3 linked regions of the Saccharomyces cerevisiae S288C genome follow. The main gene of each other region encodes a partner of the protein of the gene in region 3 in a complex. Each region holds a gene or a part of one and is shown on either strand. Other genes may lie near its edges. The genes, in order: TIM12, TIM54 and TIM18.

What was found.
Region 1: TIM18 (region 3) and TIM12 share a complex: the UniProt entries of both Saccharomyces cerevisiae proteins name them as parts of the TIM22 complex.
Region 2: TIM18 (region 3) and TIM54 share a complex: the UniProt entries of both Saccharomyces cerevisiae proteins name them as parts of the TIM22 complex.

The regions. Positions count from the first base shown.
Region 1 is NC_001134.8:426,541-431,444, forward strand, and holds TIM12 (Tim12p), read right to left. Parts: upstream 945-4,904; coding exon 615-944; downstream 1-614. Other genes in the region: YBR090C (uncharacterized protein), read right to left, coding at 334-518; acid phosphatase PHO3, read right to left, coding at 1,158-2,561; acid phosphatase PHO5, read right to left, coding at 3,008-4,411. UniProt on the Saccharomyces cerevisiae protein: Essential component of the TIM22 complex, a complex that mediates the import and insertion of multi-pass transmembrane proteins into the mitochondrial inner membrane.
Region 2 is NC_001142.9:329,668-336,201, reverse strand, and holds TIM54 (Tim22-complex subunit TIM54), read right to left. Parts: upstream 1,938-6,534; coding exon 501-1,937; downstream 1-500. Other genes in the region: retromer subunit PEP8, read right to left, coding at 1-304; LOG1 (Log1p), read right to left, coding at 2,108-2,845; ZAP1 (Zap1p), read left to right, coding at 3,129-5,771; protein kinase IKS1, read left to right, coding at 6,081-6,534. UniProt on the Saccharomyces cerevisiae protein: Essential component of the TIM22 complex, a complex that mediates the import and insertion of multi-pass transmembrane proteins into the mitochondrial inner membrane.
Region 3 is NC_001147.6:871,394-877,060, forward strand, and holds TIM18 (Tim18p), read right to left. Parts: upstream 3,929-5,667; coding exon 3,350-3,928; downstream 1-3,349. Other genes in the region: YOR296W (uncharacterized protein), read left to right, coding at 1-2,678; MUM3 (Mum3p), read left to right, coding at 4,206-5,645. UniProt on the Saccharomyces cerevisiae protein: Component of the TIM22 complex, a complex that mediates the import and insertion of multi-pass transmembrane proteins into the mitochondrial inner membrane.

The sequences.
Region 1 (4,904 bases), on a different chromosome or scaffold from region 3:
GTCGTGCGCTATGATAAACAAAGGAAGGGGGTGCACAGAACAGCAGTCCTTTAGAGGATACTACAGTAGAAAGCTAGAGTCCTGACTTACAACTTGAGCATGCCGTTATGGGCGGCTATTTCATTTCACCTGAACCGTATTAAAATATCATCTTCCTTGCTGCTACAACCTTCATTGTAGCCGGTTTATAAGATTACCATCATTGTCTACCCCTCTTTAACTTCTCCCGAAAAGCAGAGTTGCCCTTAGCTGTATCCTGTTCTAGCTGTGCTAAACTGTACGTTCTTATTAAGCCCATCCTCGTCCGCTGGGCTCACCCAGCGCCTTACATACTTTGCGAAAAAGTCGTTTTTCTGCTTGGTGTTAGGAGCTGTCTCCCATAGTGTAAACTCCCAGTATTGCCTCAACCTCACTTGCTGTACTTTATAGTTGCCGCGCCACCTAAAAAAAAAAACAAAAAAGACACCACCTAAAAAAACGGGTGAGGGGAATGCACGTGACCCAGGTGCGGGTACCATATAAATGTACTTCTAAAATTGTCTACACAGCTTATAATGCTATATATGCAGGTTACTATTATATACAAACAGCACAGACAGTCCTCATATTTACAGCTATTTTTTGGAATCATCAGCTATTTCTTTGGCCACAAATCGCGAATAATGTCGTAGCTGATTCTCTGGCCCGAAACCTCGTGTTTGTACAAATCCTCCAATGAGGCGATTGCTGTAATGCATCTTTGCCACACATCTGTCTATGCAGCATTGCTCACCTTTCGTTAGATCAGGCTCACCAAAGCCCTCATGCGGAATACATTTCTCAAGACACGTACTGAGAATATTGTTGAAAGTCGAGCACATCGCATCGAATTGCACTCCTGCAACGTCTAGCTTCTCTTGCGAGACCTCCTGGTTGCCCCTTAGACTATTTAAAAAGAACGACATCCTTTTCTTGGTGCACTTTAATATTATACGGGAGCTCCGATATCTATTTCAGCAATATAGACTACAATCAACTTTGCTGTTCTTACTTTTTAGTTAACTTTTTTCTTTTCATTCTGCCGCTAATCTACAAACTCGTTACCCTACTAGTACATAAAAGAAGATCAGAATCGATGGGTATTTATTTATATTTGCAATATTATTTATTTATACAATTTATTGTTTTAATAGGGTATCGTTGTAGTGAGTAGTATTCCAGTCCCAGTAGAAGGTCAATTCGGTGACGTTACTGACACTGCTGACGTTACAGACCTTTAGGAAGTCAGTACCAGCTACTCTCTTTTCAGCATAGTCGTAGAAATCATTGATTTCACAAGAGAACCCTGGGCCGGTGGAACAGGTTTCAATTGGAACGACAGCATCGTTAATGACGTATCTGACGTAGGTGTCGTTAGAACATTGGAATTTTTCGGTGTAGACACGAGCACCTTGAGGAACGTACCAGGACTTATGGAAGGTGTTGCCCATGAATGGAACGTATTCGGCAGTTAAGTTGTTTTTGTCGTCAATTATACCAGCGGTGGTCAAATAGTTTAGGATATCGGTATCGTGGGTAAAACTCAACCAGACTTTTAAGTCTTGAGTTTCACTTTGCTTTAACAACTTCAAAGTAGCGTTAAACAAGTTGGCACCGACGGATCTGATCATATCATAACCTGGTCCATCCTGGTAAAACGATACCAGGTCCTGGCCGTATGAGTAACGTACCAATTCATCTTCGGTGAAGATATCACAAACATCACTGTAGCCTCTAGCGTTCAATTCGTATGCACACCATGCAAACAAAGTGTTGGCGTCCTTTGAGGTCAAATTCAAACCCTTGTTTTCTTTGTTTAATCTCTTGGCAATGTCATCCAAGTATGTGGTATCGTATTTGTCCAAAATGTCATCGTTAGCATCTTCATCCCATCCTGGGCACGCATTACCAGCACTCAAAGTGTTTGCGCCGGCGGACATGGCTTCACTGACAGTCTGCAAGGAGATGTTGAATTGGTCACCTAAACCATCAATGAAATATTGAGCAGTGTCATGAACCCTTTCAGAACTAGCGGCGAAAATTGGGAAACTGGTTTGATTTTCGAACATGTAGCCATATTGCGCTAAAAACTCACGAGCATGTCTCTTAGCATCCATCTCACCAGTGTATGGATTCAAAACATTGTCTGAGTTGGCAAAAGTGGTTTCCATTTCCAAATCATCGTCATCACGGATGAAAAACTCGTAATCATCGTTCAAGAATGACAATGAGCCGTTGAATTGACGTGTGTAATTGCTCAACTTATACCATGTTTTCATGATGGTAGCACCTTTACTGTAAGTTGGGTATCTTTCACCATGTCTGGCAAGCATTTGCAATTGTTTCATTTCACAACCTTCAGGCAAGTCACGAGAAATACCATAGTCGCCAGGGAAAGAGAAGTATGGCCCGGCACCACCCAGGAATGGGAATATGTCTTCCTGAGTGCCAATTTTGGCAACATCGGCTAACTCTCCGAGGGGAATTGTACCTGCATTAACTAAAGCAGCGGCTAGAACCGAATAAACAACAGACTTAAACATAGGTAATTTGGAATGGCCCTTTCTTTACTGTAGTATTTTTTTTATGATAATCAAGGCATAATTGACTTCCATCCAGCAAATTTAAGCACTTATATATGTTGCATAGGACTACTCAAAGCTGTTTACTATTTCCCAAACTGGTATTATTTAGTAAATTTCTTTTGAATTTTTTTTTTTTCACTCTTCCTTTTTTTCATTTTTGCGATGCCAGTTCTTTGAGTTTCCCTTATACGGCATATGCACTTAAGGTTTGATTTTGCTAATTAAAGGCGTGCCTAAGCGGCGACTAATACTGTAATATAATATGGGTTCCTGACTGACTACAGGGATTGAAACATCCATTTACCTGTTTCGGATATCTCTGCAGATTTTAATCTTTCGGCAAAATTTAGATAAAAAATTTGGGTATTCGTATTTAGTTTCCAATATTATTTAGTTATACAAAACTATTGTCTCAATAGACTGGCGTTGTAATGAGTAGTGTTCCAGTCCCAGTAGAAGGTCAATTCAGTAGAGTTACTGACGCTGCTGACGTTACAGACCTTTAGGAAGTCAGTACCGGCTACTCTCTTTTCAGCATAGTCGTAGAAGTCATTGATTTCACAAGAGAACCCTGGACCAGTGGAACAGGTTTCAATTGGAACAACAGCATCGTTAATGACGTATCTGACGTAGGTGTCGTTAGAACATTGGAATTTTTCGGTGTAGACACGAGCACCTTGAGGAACGTACCAGGATCTGTGGAAAGTGTTGCCCATGAATGGAACGTATTCGGCAGTTAAGTTGTTTTTGTCGTCAATTATACCAGCGGTGGTCAAAAAGTTTAGGATATCGGTATCGTGGGTAAAACTCAACCAAACCTTTTGGTCTTGAATCTCACTTTGCTTTAATAATTTGACTGAGGCATTGAACAAGTTGGAACCGACAGACTTGATAATGTCGTAACCTGGACCCTCATGGTAATAAGTGTGCAAGTCTTGGTAGTAGGAGTAATGGACTAATTCATCCTTGGTGAAAATATCACAGACATCACTGTAACCTTTAGCGTTCACTTCAAATGCACACCACGAGAATAAAGTACTAGCGTCAGTTGAGGTCAAGTTCAAACCCTTGTTTTCCTTGTTCAATCTCTTGGCAATGTCATCCAAGTAGGTTGTGTCGTATTCATTTACAATGTCATCATTGGCATCGTAGTCCCAAGCAGGACATGAGTTACAAGCACTCAAAGTGTTGGCACCAGCGGATTCAGCTTCACTGACAGTCTGCAAGGTGATGTTGAATTGGTCACCTAAACCATCAATGAAATATTGAGCAGTGTCATGACATCTCTTAGAATTAGAGGTAAAAACGGCGAAACTGGTTTGGTTTTCGACCATGTAACCGTATTGAGCCAAGAAGTCACGAGCATGTCTCTTGGCGTTCATTTCACCAGTGTATGGGTTCAAAACATCGTCCGAGTTGGCAAAAGTGGTTTCCATTTCCAAATCATCGTCATCACGGATGAAAAACTCGTAATCATCGTTCAAGAATGACAATGAGCCGTTGAATTGACGAGTGTAATTGCTCAACTTATACCATGTACTCTTGATAGTCTTAGCCAGACTGACAGTAGGGTATCTTTCACCATGTCTACCAACCATTTGCAGTTGCTTCATTTCACAACCTTCAGGCAAATCACGAGAAATACCATAGTCGCCAGGGAAAGAGTAGTATGGTCCGGCACCACCCAAAAATGGGAAGATATCTTTTTGGGTACCAATCTTGTCGACATCGGCTAGTTTGCCTAAGGGAATGGTACCTGCATTGGCCAAAGAAGCGGCTAAAATTGAATAAACAACAGATTTAAACATTGGTAATCTCGAATTTGCTTGCTCTATTTGTTGTTGTTCTTATTCTCATGAGAGATGAAGCCATACTAACCTCGACTTAGCAAAACATCAGCGCTTATATACGTTTCATTTCGACAATTCAAAGATGTTTACCCTTATCCCAAATGGGTATATGCCTTGCCAAGTAAGGTGACCAATTTGATAATTTGGCATGTGCGATCTCTTCGAAAACAGGGACCAGAATCATAAATTTAGTCTGTGCTAGTCCCACGTGTGAGTGCCAAGGTTGTATCGATTCATTTAGAGATTGCCTATTCAATTAACTCTTTTAATCACTTTTACTTTTTTTGGCATTGTGCAGTTGCGTTCTATGCGAAAACGTGCTAATTTAATATATATTTCTTTGTGCAGACAAAGAAAAAGCGCTATGAACCTTTTACCTTCGTTTGAAGTTTATAGACGACGTCCGCTTACATGAGAAAACATTAAAGCAGCGCACATAAGATGACTTCCA
Region 2 (6,534 bases), on a different chromosome or scaffold from region 3:
AGGAAGATGATGTGCTAGAGGTAACTTTTTTAGAAGATGAATTACCGCTCCCATGAGATTTTAACATATCAATGGATCCAATAACGGACACTTTTATGCCCAAGTGGTCTACCTTTTTACTATCCCGAACTCTCAAAGTAACAATTCCACCAAGGGATTCGCCATCTTCATAGACGGGCAAGCTTTCCTTCATTGATTTGTAACTGGAATTACTTGATCTTGTTGCAATGTCTACGTGTTTGCGAGATTCCTCATTATCGAAAAGGATCTCAATATCAATCGGCGGCTTGAAAAAAATACTCATAATGCTAATAATAGTTGTGCTTGGATTCTTTTACAATGTACACATTTTATTATATTTACAGATTTTATATATATGTATATGTGTGCATATATAAAAACTATTTCAACATGAGTAAAGGGAAATCTTCGAAAAGGGTTTGGTATATGTCAGACATAACGTCGATCGTGCATGATGATAAAACATAATATATATCCAATTAAATATCTGATTCTGGCTCTTCCTTGGGTGGTTTTTCGTAAACAAACATATGCTTCGTGATTCTAGGATCACATACTAATTCTTGGGTCCATTCGCTGTTCTTTTCTTTACCCTGTTTGACCCAGTTCTGTGGCCAATCTTTTTCTTCGTCCTTCGCCAAATCAATATCCTTTGCAATATCAAACGGTCTTATACGGGTTTGTCGAACACAGTTAACTACACTTGAACACACGTCCTCTACGTAGAAACGCTTCTGGTAAAAACGATGTATTCTCCTTGGAATGGTAGTAAAACCTATCAAGTTAGGTATTGGAATGACCAATAACGGCTGATTAATCAGAAGCGGGATATTTGTATTGGGGTTTCTTATGAATTCGCCATTTGGAGTTTGTAATTCCGAAGCGATTTGCAGGTCAGGGTATTGGTCTGAAGAAATAAATGGCTTCAAAAATTTTTGCGAATCCTCTGAGCTGTTTTCTTCATCAACCTTTAGATCATCTTGTACTTTGGCCTCTTCCAAAGCAGTCTCTTTCTCGGCATCCACCAGTTCCGTAGCACCGGATTCACTTACCTTTGATTCTATTTGATTTGCTTCTACAACCCCAGTCATCTTAGGCTCAGTGGATCCTGTTTTTTCGGTCTTCTCGATGGGTCCAAGCAAGCCTTCGTGAATACCGGCAATGTACTCCTTATAGGCGCCTCTACCTAAACAAATAACACCACCAGATAATATAGGGTCCTTTGTCAGGGCGTCTTCACTTATTATATGCTTCGGTTTTGGCATTGTATAGAAGATACCTATAACGTTTCTCCAGTCGAAGTTCTCCTTGAACTTTTTACCGATTTCTGGATCAAACGAGTCATCTTCTTCAGCAGGATCTTGAATGATTTTATTGAACGGTAGTAGTGATGAAATTTTACTGGTTGAAGAACCACTTGGTTTTGCTACCGTTTGGTTAGGCTCTTTAACTGGCTGCCCATCCGTCGATGCCAATATTTCCTTTCTCAATTCTCTGATTCTGTTGGCTACATTAGTTCTAATAATCCCTTGCCTATCCTCTTGAACTAATTCATAGTCCAACCCTGCATAATACAGTACAGGCTTAACATATCGTCTCCAAACTTTCAACGAACTCTCCAGATAATCATTTGGAGGAGGTGCAATAAAAACAGTGATCTTTCGTGGCACTTTGTCTACCTCCATGGACTCCTCTGCCAAAGGCTTCACCAAGTCTGTTGCATGGCTCAGAATCTGACGTTGCTTGTATTTGTCATAGGCTATGCCACCGATGGATACTGTTAACACAGACCAAAAGATCATCCAGTTTCGAGAAGGCAGCCTCAAGGCGGGTATACCAAGGGCTTTTAAAGCCGGATTGGTATAGCCAGGCTTCCTAATAGGCTTAGCAATAGGCTTTCCTGATTCAGAAGACATGGTCTATTGAGCTTCTTTTGAGAACAATGGACTTTAAAGCTATGATGTCTTTGCCATCAGTACTATTTTTTCCAGCCTTCGGGCTTAGAAAGACAGCTCCTAAAAATTTGGATTTTTCACCACATTATCTATACAGATCGTTTAAACTAGATACATGACTTACGTTTCTATTATTTAGCACAATCCTCGTGAGCGTGACCTTCGTCGCTCCAATTCAAATTGAAACGGCCCTCTGGAACGACGTACTTCTCTATTTTATCAACAACTTCCTGCGGAGTGGAGGCAACTTGAATGATTTCACCATTCTTCACACTGATGAACCGTTCTTGAATAGAGTGTTTGAGGAACTCCAATAATTTGTCATAGAACCCATCGATATTGAACAAGATAATTGGTTTATTATGAATCCCCAGTTGCGACCACGTGATACATTCCATGATTTCTTCAAAAGTCCCGTATCCACCAGGCATAGCAACAAACGCGTCACTCAAATTTGCCATCATTCTTTTTCTCGTATGCATATCTGGTACAATCGTTGTTTCCCCATACTCTTCAGAAATAGGAGTGGCGCCCTTATGATTTTCTACAGACTCCAACAATGCTTTATTAACATCTTCTTTATCCTCGTCTGTCCTTTCCTTAGACACAAGTGCATTTGGAATGATACCGTGAACCTGTCCGCTTAAATCAGGTCCCATCGTAGACCTTGCTATCTTGCCCATCAAACCAGTAGTGCCTCCACCGTATACCAATTTCCATCCCAGCTTATGGAAAAGGGCTCCTAATTCTTCTGCACTTTCTGAGTATAGCGCCTTAGCGCCAAATGAAGACCCGCAGTAAACACACACAGACTTGCCGCCTACTTGGCCACCACGGCTGCTATTACCTCCATTTTTTTCCATTGTCATCGCCGTTTCTTAGTACTGGATTGCCTGCGATTTACTCTAGGGATCTTCCTATTCAACTGTTGGAAATAATTCTCCTTCCTTAAACGCCCAAAACATGATTATATATCACTGCAGACGGAGTAGTTGACAGCAGTCATCTACCCTAAAGGTCATGATGAAACGTGCTTGGCAATATAAGATGCAACTGCAGTCACTGTGAATATAGGCCAGCGGCGAGACGGAAGCATTACACTTTTACTTTTTATGTGTTACGGTTTTTTAAATAGAAGAAGGATAGGAACTAATGGATGCGTTGACTCCCAGGGACTCCCCCAAGCGCGATGACTCGATGGCCACGAGTGCGGCCACTGCTGCTTCTGCCAAGCCTGATGCTCTGACGATAGGTAAAGAAGGCATTGTCCACGGGCACATCCATAACTACAACAACCTGACCTATATCCATGGTCACCTTCACCACAGCGCGCCTGTGAACGACAGTAGTGCTTCGGCAACACCTGCAGCCGCAGCTGTTGCTGATGCCGCTACTTCCGCATTTGCATCTGGAGCTAGCCATGATATGGGTGGTGATTGCCACGTCAATGAGAAATGCAAGGAGTACACCGACTGCCAACATTTCGAGTTCTTGAATTATCACAATAATCCGTCATTAACAAAATATAATGATACTGCAACGTATAATTCTAATAATCATTCTTTTGCAAACAATTTCCATTCGGTAGCTTCTGATCCGACAAGTCCCCAACAGAATTCTAAAAGCGACCTACCACGTAGAAAAGATTCTTGGTTTAACGACGATCTGATACTGCTGCCCTCTTCCAAGAAAAATAAACCGAACCCACCACCTGGATCCGATGATTGTTATTGTACGCCCAAGATTTTGGAAATATGTTGTGACGAAACTCATCCCAAAAGTGAGGCTAATATAAAACAAGGTGAATCTGATCAACCGACAAAGAAAGACATATCTGAGAACGGCAATGATGTTGCAATATTCACAGATGTAAAGAACGATCACTTGATGCCAAATTTTAACCTTCATGATCAGTACTGTAATAGTACCAATCACGACTCTCACAATCACAATAATACTGTACCAGATAGCTTTTCTCAGCTGATGTCTCACTTATCGGAGATTGATTGCGATTTGACCTGTGACACCCCATGCACGGCTAGCACGAGCGCGACTAGTGGTCACAAGTTTGTTCAAGATCATCAATCATCAAATAATGATGACGTTTTCCATAAATACTGCAAATTTTGTGAGGAGAGCACTGATAATCAACCTTGTTCTAAGCATATGCATTTAGAGTCAAAGCCACCTCAACTACCACCCAAATGTTCATCTTTACGAAAACCTACAAACACTTTGCAAGGTACAAATCATGCTTATCACGAACATATCTTAAATACTGATATGGATTTGAAGATTTTGGAAGATTTATGCAATATTTCTTCTTTGTATGAAGTACCGTTTGGAAAACACATTAACCACCACGACCACAATAATGCCGGTAACGGCTGCGATGGTTCGAGCACAGGAAATAATGAAAACGGTAACCAAACAATGAATCTTCTATTATCAAGCATTAATAGATGCAACCCTAAAAATAATCTTAATGGAAGCAATAACAATACGGCTGGAGCAACTTCAACTGATCATCAACACCATCACCATAGAATACAGTTTCATTCTCACAAACCAAATAGAAACAATATTGTGAACAATTCAGGGATTAGCGCGGCGAACACAACAGCCGATCTAACTAACAACGATTTAAATGACTTAATTTCAAGAGAGTATAGTTATGAAAGATTTAGAAATCAAAGTGAGCCCCCTTCGCTACCCAAAGTCACTCATCAGAATCAGAAAAATCGTAGATCTTGGCCTACAAAAGATCTAGAATCTACTGATTTCAGCTCTTTGGAAGACTCATTACCTTCTAGCATCTCTCCTCCTATACAGACAACAAGCACTATAAATTTCAACTGGTGTTTTAAAGAAGAGAAAAACAATGACTTAAAATGCAAATGGAAAGAATGTCCTGAGTCTTGTAGCTCACTATTTGACCTACAAAGACATCTTTTGAAGGATCATGTCTCTCAAGATTTCAAACACCCTATGGAACCATTAGCTTGTAATTGGGAGGACTGTGATTTCCTTGGAGATGATACATGTTCCATAGTGAACCATATTAATTGTCAACATGGTATCAATTTTGATATTCAATTTGCCAACCCAGACTCATTTTTGCCTGGTAGTATATCAAAGGAAAAACATCACTTACTACATTGCCCCAACCCACAAACACACGAAGTTTCTAAAGCAGATGGAGCACCTGATATGACGTCTGCAAATGATGTTTCCAATATACCGCCAATCAAGCAGCCGGAACAGGTGATTTGCCAATGGGATGGTTGCAATAAGTCATTTTCCAGTGCTCAGGAATTAAACGACCATTTAGAAGCAGTACATTTAACCCGGGGTAAGTCTGAATACCAATGCTTGTGGCATGACTGCCATCGTACGTTCCCCCAAAGACAAAAATTAATCCGTCATTTAAAAGTGCATTCGAAATACAAACCTTATAAGTGCAAGACATGTAAAAGGTGTTTTTCAAGCGAAGAAACTTTAGTTCAGCATACCAGGACACACTCTGGCGAAAAACCTTACAAATGTCACATTTGTAATAAAAAATTCGCGATTTCAAGTTCTTTGAAGATTCATATAAGAACCCATACTGGTGAAAAACCTTTACAATGCAAGATTTGTGGTAAGAGATTCAACGAATCGTCAAATTTGAGCAAACATATTAAGACCCATCAGAAAAAATACAAGTGCTCTGACTGTTCCAAAAGCTTTGACGATTTGGGAAAATTGAACTCACAGAAAGTGAAATGCGCATTGGAAAGAAAACCATATTTATAAATGTGATCATCATGGTCCAACGTAAGAAGGGCGGTTTTCAGGATCACATAAATGCATAATTAGAAACATTTCATATTTTACCTAGACTACTTTTTATTTATAATTTTTCGCAAACTCTTTTTTGTAAGCTTTTACAGTACACTTTTTTTACGTAATAACGTATTTCAAGCTTTATTTTTTGTATACGTTTCAGAAAAGGGGGTGGGGGGGAAGGACATTGTATATATAGATCCTATGAGTGACAACTAGGTAACCGAAGAAACACTATTAGATATATAGTTTGAGGGATAGCATAAGTAGAACTTAGAAATGAGTTTAGTACCATATGAAGAAGGTTCGCTGATTTTAGATGATCCTAATTCTAAATCAGTGGTGGTTGTTAATCCAACCTCAGGAACTTTATCATTTTTCCAACAGGACAACAGTAATAATGACTCTGAACTAAATGAAGACCAGACTGCATCTTTATCAGCACTGGACTTTCCTTCAGGGATTCATCAATACAAAAGCCCTATTGCTTCCTATGTGTGCCCGCAATGTGGTACGGAAATTAACCCTGATATTATAAACAGAAGACAACTTCATCGTCGAGCCTCTGCTGGAGTAGAATCAGAAAGCAGTAGGCTCAGTATTCCAGAGAACACTGTGCCACTTGGATTTGAATTTGCCAATTCAAGCTTTTCAAGAAGATATTTTCAGTCATTGGAAAGAAATCATCGGCACTACGCCCTACAAAACGATAGTAACAATAAGCAGGGACAGT
Region 3 (5,667 bases):
CCTCGTTGGTTTATTCAGCAGCAAATTTAAGTGTTCTAGGAGATGAAGAGCTAAATATCCCAATAACTGAAAACTTGTTTTCTGTCATCCGCAATAAATATTTATGTTCAGAGGATAATCTGGATCCATCCGCTTGGAATGCTCAGGATCGCTATTTATGGGCTGCAAACCTTTTTCATACGACTGATCAGTCTATGAGGACAATAAATAACCTTTTAACTGCGATATTTTCAGGTACAAAGCCAAAATTTTCTCCAGTTTTGTCATTTTATTATTCAAACATTGTTGGGGATCCAGTAATGGAATTCTATGAAACGCAGTCCGTAGCTGTAAAGAAATACTGGATCAAATTATTTAAGAAGACTCTTTTTAAAGCATCAGAGGATTATTTTGTCTCCCTTCTGCAGGATATGCTAAAGGCTAACGCAATAGAAATTCAAAACGTTCAGAATCTCGTAGAAACAATTATAGAAGCCATAAAAGCGATTCAAAAACGTTACAATAAACCTTTATTGGACGAAATATCTCTGCCTAGACAATGCGCAGTATTTCTATGTGAAGTATACGGTTCGGATTCTTTAAATCTAATAAAAACCGCTGAAAAGAGTACCATGAAAATGACTGGACAAAAGTTGGGTCCAATAGATGCGCTAGATATGTATGATGTACTGAAAGAACTGAGACAGATTTACCTGCAGGTAAAGCCAAAAGGGAAATTTTTCTTTAACCTTGAAAATTATTTCATCAAATATTTGACTCGATTATGTGATGATGTGAGCCGTAATGTTCAAAAAGTTATTAAATCTTCACTAGAAAGCGAGAATTGGCAACCCGTAAATGACCAGGACCATTTCAGTAGATCAGTTTTGGACATATTCAAAATGATAAATGAATCAACTAGCATGTTGGAGAAATTTGGTTGGCAAAATGAATTTCAACTGGCACAAATGATCACGGTAATATTAAAGGCGTTTTCAGATGGTATGCTTTCATACTCAGCTCAACTAATGGAATTGATCCAGAGAGATTTACAGGAGGGTGATGAACCATCCTACTCTTTAGAAAGCTCAGACACTCGATCTTCACTTAGCCTGAATAACGCTAACGTAAATCATGAAAAATCAAGAAGTAGTAGGCTGTTTGAAGATTTGAAAAATGTAGTTAAATCAACTCCGAAGATGGTAGCTCCTGCTCCATATCAGTTCAAGAAGCGTACGTGCGTACTGCTAAATGATCTTGATAAAACACTTTTTCTGTTAGAGAGCTTCGAAGAAAAAGCAGATCCATCAAAAATATCCTCTGTTATTGCACAGTACCACTCCTCCCATAATTTAGAGGATAATGGGAAGTCATTCGATGACCAGAATATGAAGCAAGTTTATACCCTTCGAATTATCGGTGCTGAAAATATTAAAGGCTTCAGCAAAACGGGGCTTTCAAACACCTACGTTTCCATGAGAAACATCACTTTACAACGGGAAATAGGTACTACTAAGATTGTTGCAAGATCGATTACTCCCAAATGGGACGAAGAGTTTGTGTTTGAGTCTCCATTCGGAAAGTCGAACGATATTATGTTTACTATATGGCACCACCCACACAGCAGATTAAAGAATTTAGCGGAAGATGATCTATGTGGAAAAGCCAATATGAAATTCACTCCGAGAAAGCTCAAGGATGATGGGTTTCCTATCGATTTTTCGCTCACATTGAATCCGCAGGGAACTTTATATTGCCAAATATCCCTGGAAAGTGAGAAAATAGATGCCGTTTCTTCTATGGGAAGAATATATAGATCTTTTAGCAGGTCAAGAGATCGTGCAATAAACCTAATAGTCAACAAATTTTCTGATTTTATTGCATTTGCCTTCTCGAGAACCACATTAAAAACAGTGTGTGGTCACCATGGTTCTGCACTTGCGTCTGACGAAGCAGTATATGACGCAATTTTACCACTATTTGACTATTTAAACGCAAATTTGAACATTCTGGCATCAGAACTTTCACAGAGATTGTTGTTTATGGTAATGCTAAGAGCGTGGAACCTCGTTTTAGAGAACGCTGATTTACTTCTTCTACCTGCATTGAATAGCGCTAAAGTTAATATATTGCGTTCAGCAAAGAAATCTTTGTGGGAAAATACTCTTTCAACCACAAAAACGGTATCAGGATACGGTCGTCCTTTGACTCAAGCGGAAATCGAGGCTGTATTCAAATGGCTTGATGCGCTGTGTGTAGATTTTTTTCATAATAAAGGAGAAGGTCCCCCTCTTGCAGAATTGAAAAATGAGTATTACCAAAATATATTGCTGATCCCAGCTTTTTATGATAAAAGTGTCTCCGAATTGAAGGATGAAGTTCAGCGATTGATTCCCCTATATGAAGAGTATTTGAGATGGTTTTATCTGAAGAAAACTCCGATTACTTTTACGAATAAATCCGCTGGAACAATATCTCGAAAAAAGTCGCTAGTAGCTAACATTGTAAAAGAGCCTAAGGAACAACTGGAACGTGATGCAGAAGTAATGAATATTATATTGAGAATATTGATCGCGAAAGGCCAACATGATTACGTTCATCGAATTTTACATGACAGAAAAGAACTTGTTAATACTATGAAAAATAGAAGAGCGGTGAGTAGAGCGGTCACTCCTACAGGAAAAAAGGGCAGAAACTGAAGTCTCTTTTATATATATACATGGGGTGCTGACTAAACAGTTCCACCCTATATTTGAGCGTCGATAAAAAATGAATGAACGTGTATCATCGTTTATTATAAGAATCATAGTTTTATGGACAAGTTTTCCGTTTAGCATTTATACCCATATAGTAAAAAGTTTCGCAGATAGTGCGATAGTTGTATTCTGATTGCCTTATTATTATTTCACTAATTCTTTATTCACGTAGAGCATGACACTTTTTTTATGTGTTTCCTTTTGATTGTGAAATAAAGGCGAATCCTAACAAATATTAAAATGTTTCAATACATTGATAAAAATTGTAAACATTATTTTTTTGTAGTATAAAAATTCGTTCCTCATCATTAAAGAAACAAAAAGCATACAGATAATAATAAAAAAGGCACTTTAGACAGAATGAGAATACTAGCAATCACGAATTCCTACTTTTCCTTTCTGTATCCCTAGGCGTTTCACTCGACAAGAATTGATCGTCTTGTACCAATCCAAGCAGATCGATATATACATATATATCTGGATTTCGAGAAGAAGGATATATTTTATTGCTTATTTGTCTTTTTATAAAATCTCTCCTAAGTTAAGTTCATGGGGAATCTGACTCTAAAAATGAAATCTTAGAAATGCAAAAAAAAAGAAAAAGTATGGGTGAGTCAGTTTCTTCCAAATATATACAAATGGTCATCATTTTCATTCCAAAGTTTCTTTACCAGGTCAACAAAACCATTATTTTTCGTTTCCAATTCGTAGATACCGTACAGGGACAACATGGATCCTCCATAGAGGCAATAAAGGGCGAGCTTATGCCATCTTGGATACTTTTCCTTCGGTATATAGTCAATAATACAACTTGTGAAGCCATACTGTAAATATATCAAAAAAATGGACGATAAAGACGCATCGAGTAAAGGATTTATAACCCCGCCGGTAAAGGAGGCATAAAAAGGTACCATTGTTAATGGAATCAAAGTATATTTTGCTATTCTCTCATAGTCTTTTTGATAAGAGTCCTTAAATTGAGAGAACTCTGGGGGCTTAAACATCTGCACTGAAGAGGATGCCTCTTTTGACGTATTTGCAATATCGTTTATTTTATTTTCAGCATTTAAACGATTAATGCTATAAAAGGATCTTTTGGTTGAAAGTACTAATCCTGGAAAAACAGCTCGTACAGGATTTACAATGACAGTGGAAGCATTAAGAACAGGCTTCAAGCCAGGAAACAATAGCATTACCAAAGGTATTAAATTACTCAGTTGTTGCACCTCGCATCACCGTTAATTAATGTGTGCATTCCACTGTCTGGAAGTTTTCATTTTTATCCGATCTTTTGCGAGAATGGTTTGTTTTTCAAAAAAACCGAGTGTCAACAAGGCATGTAGCGACACAAAATGAAAAATTGAAAGTTAACAGGGCAAGATATGCACCATAATAGATTCATTGTTAATCTTAATCAAATAAAATTTCTCTTTTCCACACAGAAAACTAAACGAAAGGTATAACTTTAAGATGGGTTTTGTTGATTTCTTCGAAACATATATGGTCGGTTCTAGGGTCCAGTTCAAACAGTTAGATATTTCTGATTGGTTGAGTCTGACCCCAAGGTTGCTTATTCTTTTTGGCTATTTTTACCTTCATTCTTTTTTTACTGCAATCAATCAATTCCTACAGTTCATTAACACGAATTCCTTCTGTCTTAGACTGCATTTACTATATGACAGATTTTGGTCGCATGTGCCCATAATAGGTGAGTACAAAATTCGGCTGCTCTCGAGGGCACTGACATATAGTAAACTGAAAATAATACCAACTTTAGACAAGGTGCTGGAGGCGATTGAAATTTGGTTTCAGCTACATTTAGTTGAAATGACCTTCGAAAAAAAAAAAAACGTCCAAATTTTCATAACCGAGGGAAGTGATGACCTAAACTTTTTTAAAGATAGCAAATTCCAAACCACATTAATGATATGTAATCATCGATCAGTGAATGACTACACATTGATTAATTACCTTTTTCTCAAAAGTTGTCCCACCAAGTTTTATACTAAATGGGAATTTCTACAAAAGCTGAGGAAGGGGGAAGATCTAGCTGAATGGCCTCAGTTAAAATTTCTTGGTTGGGGAAAAATGTTTAACTTTCCTCGATTGGATCTACTAAAGAACATATTCTTCAAAGATGAAACACTCGCACTCTCATCGAATGAGTTAAGAGATATTTTAGAAAGACAAAACAATCAAGCTATTACTATTTTTCCCGAAGTCAATATCATGAGTTTGGAACTATCAATTATTCAAAGAAAATTACACCAAGATTTTCCCTTTGTTATAAACTTCTATAATTTATTATACCCAAGATTTAAAAACTTTACCACTTTGATGGCTGCTTTTTCATCAATTAAAAACATCAAAAGAAAGAAAAACCGTAACAATATAATCAAAGAGGCCCGATACCTGTTTCACAGAGAACTTGACAAATTAGTTCACAAGAGCATGAAAATGGAGTCTTCCAAGGTATCCGATAAGACGACGCCGCCCATGATCGTAGATAATTCATACTTACTTACAAAAAAGGAAGAAATCAGCAGCGGCAAGCCCAAGGTGGTACGAATCAATCCATACATATATGATGTCACCATAATTTATTACCGAGTCAAATATACTGATAGTGGGCATGATCATACCAACGGAGATTTGAGACTTCATAAAGGTTATCAATTAGAGCAAATATCTCCGACAATCTTTGAGATGATTCAACCAGAAATGGAGTCTGAAAACAACATAAAGGATAAGGACCCCATTGTTGTGATGGTAAATGTAAAAAAGCATCAAATTCAACCATTACTCGCATACAATGATGAGAGTTTAGAAAAGTGGCTTGAAAATAGGTGGATAGAAAAAGATAGATTAATCGAGTCCTTGCAAAAAAATATTAAAATTGAGACCAAATAAAGATCCTGAATCATAATATATA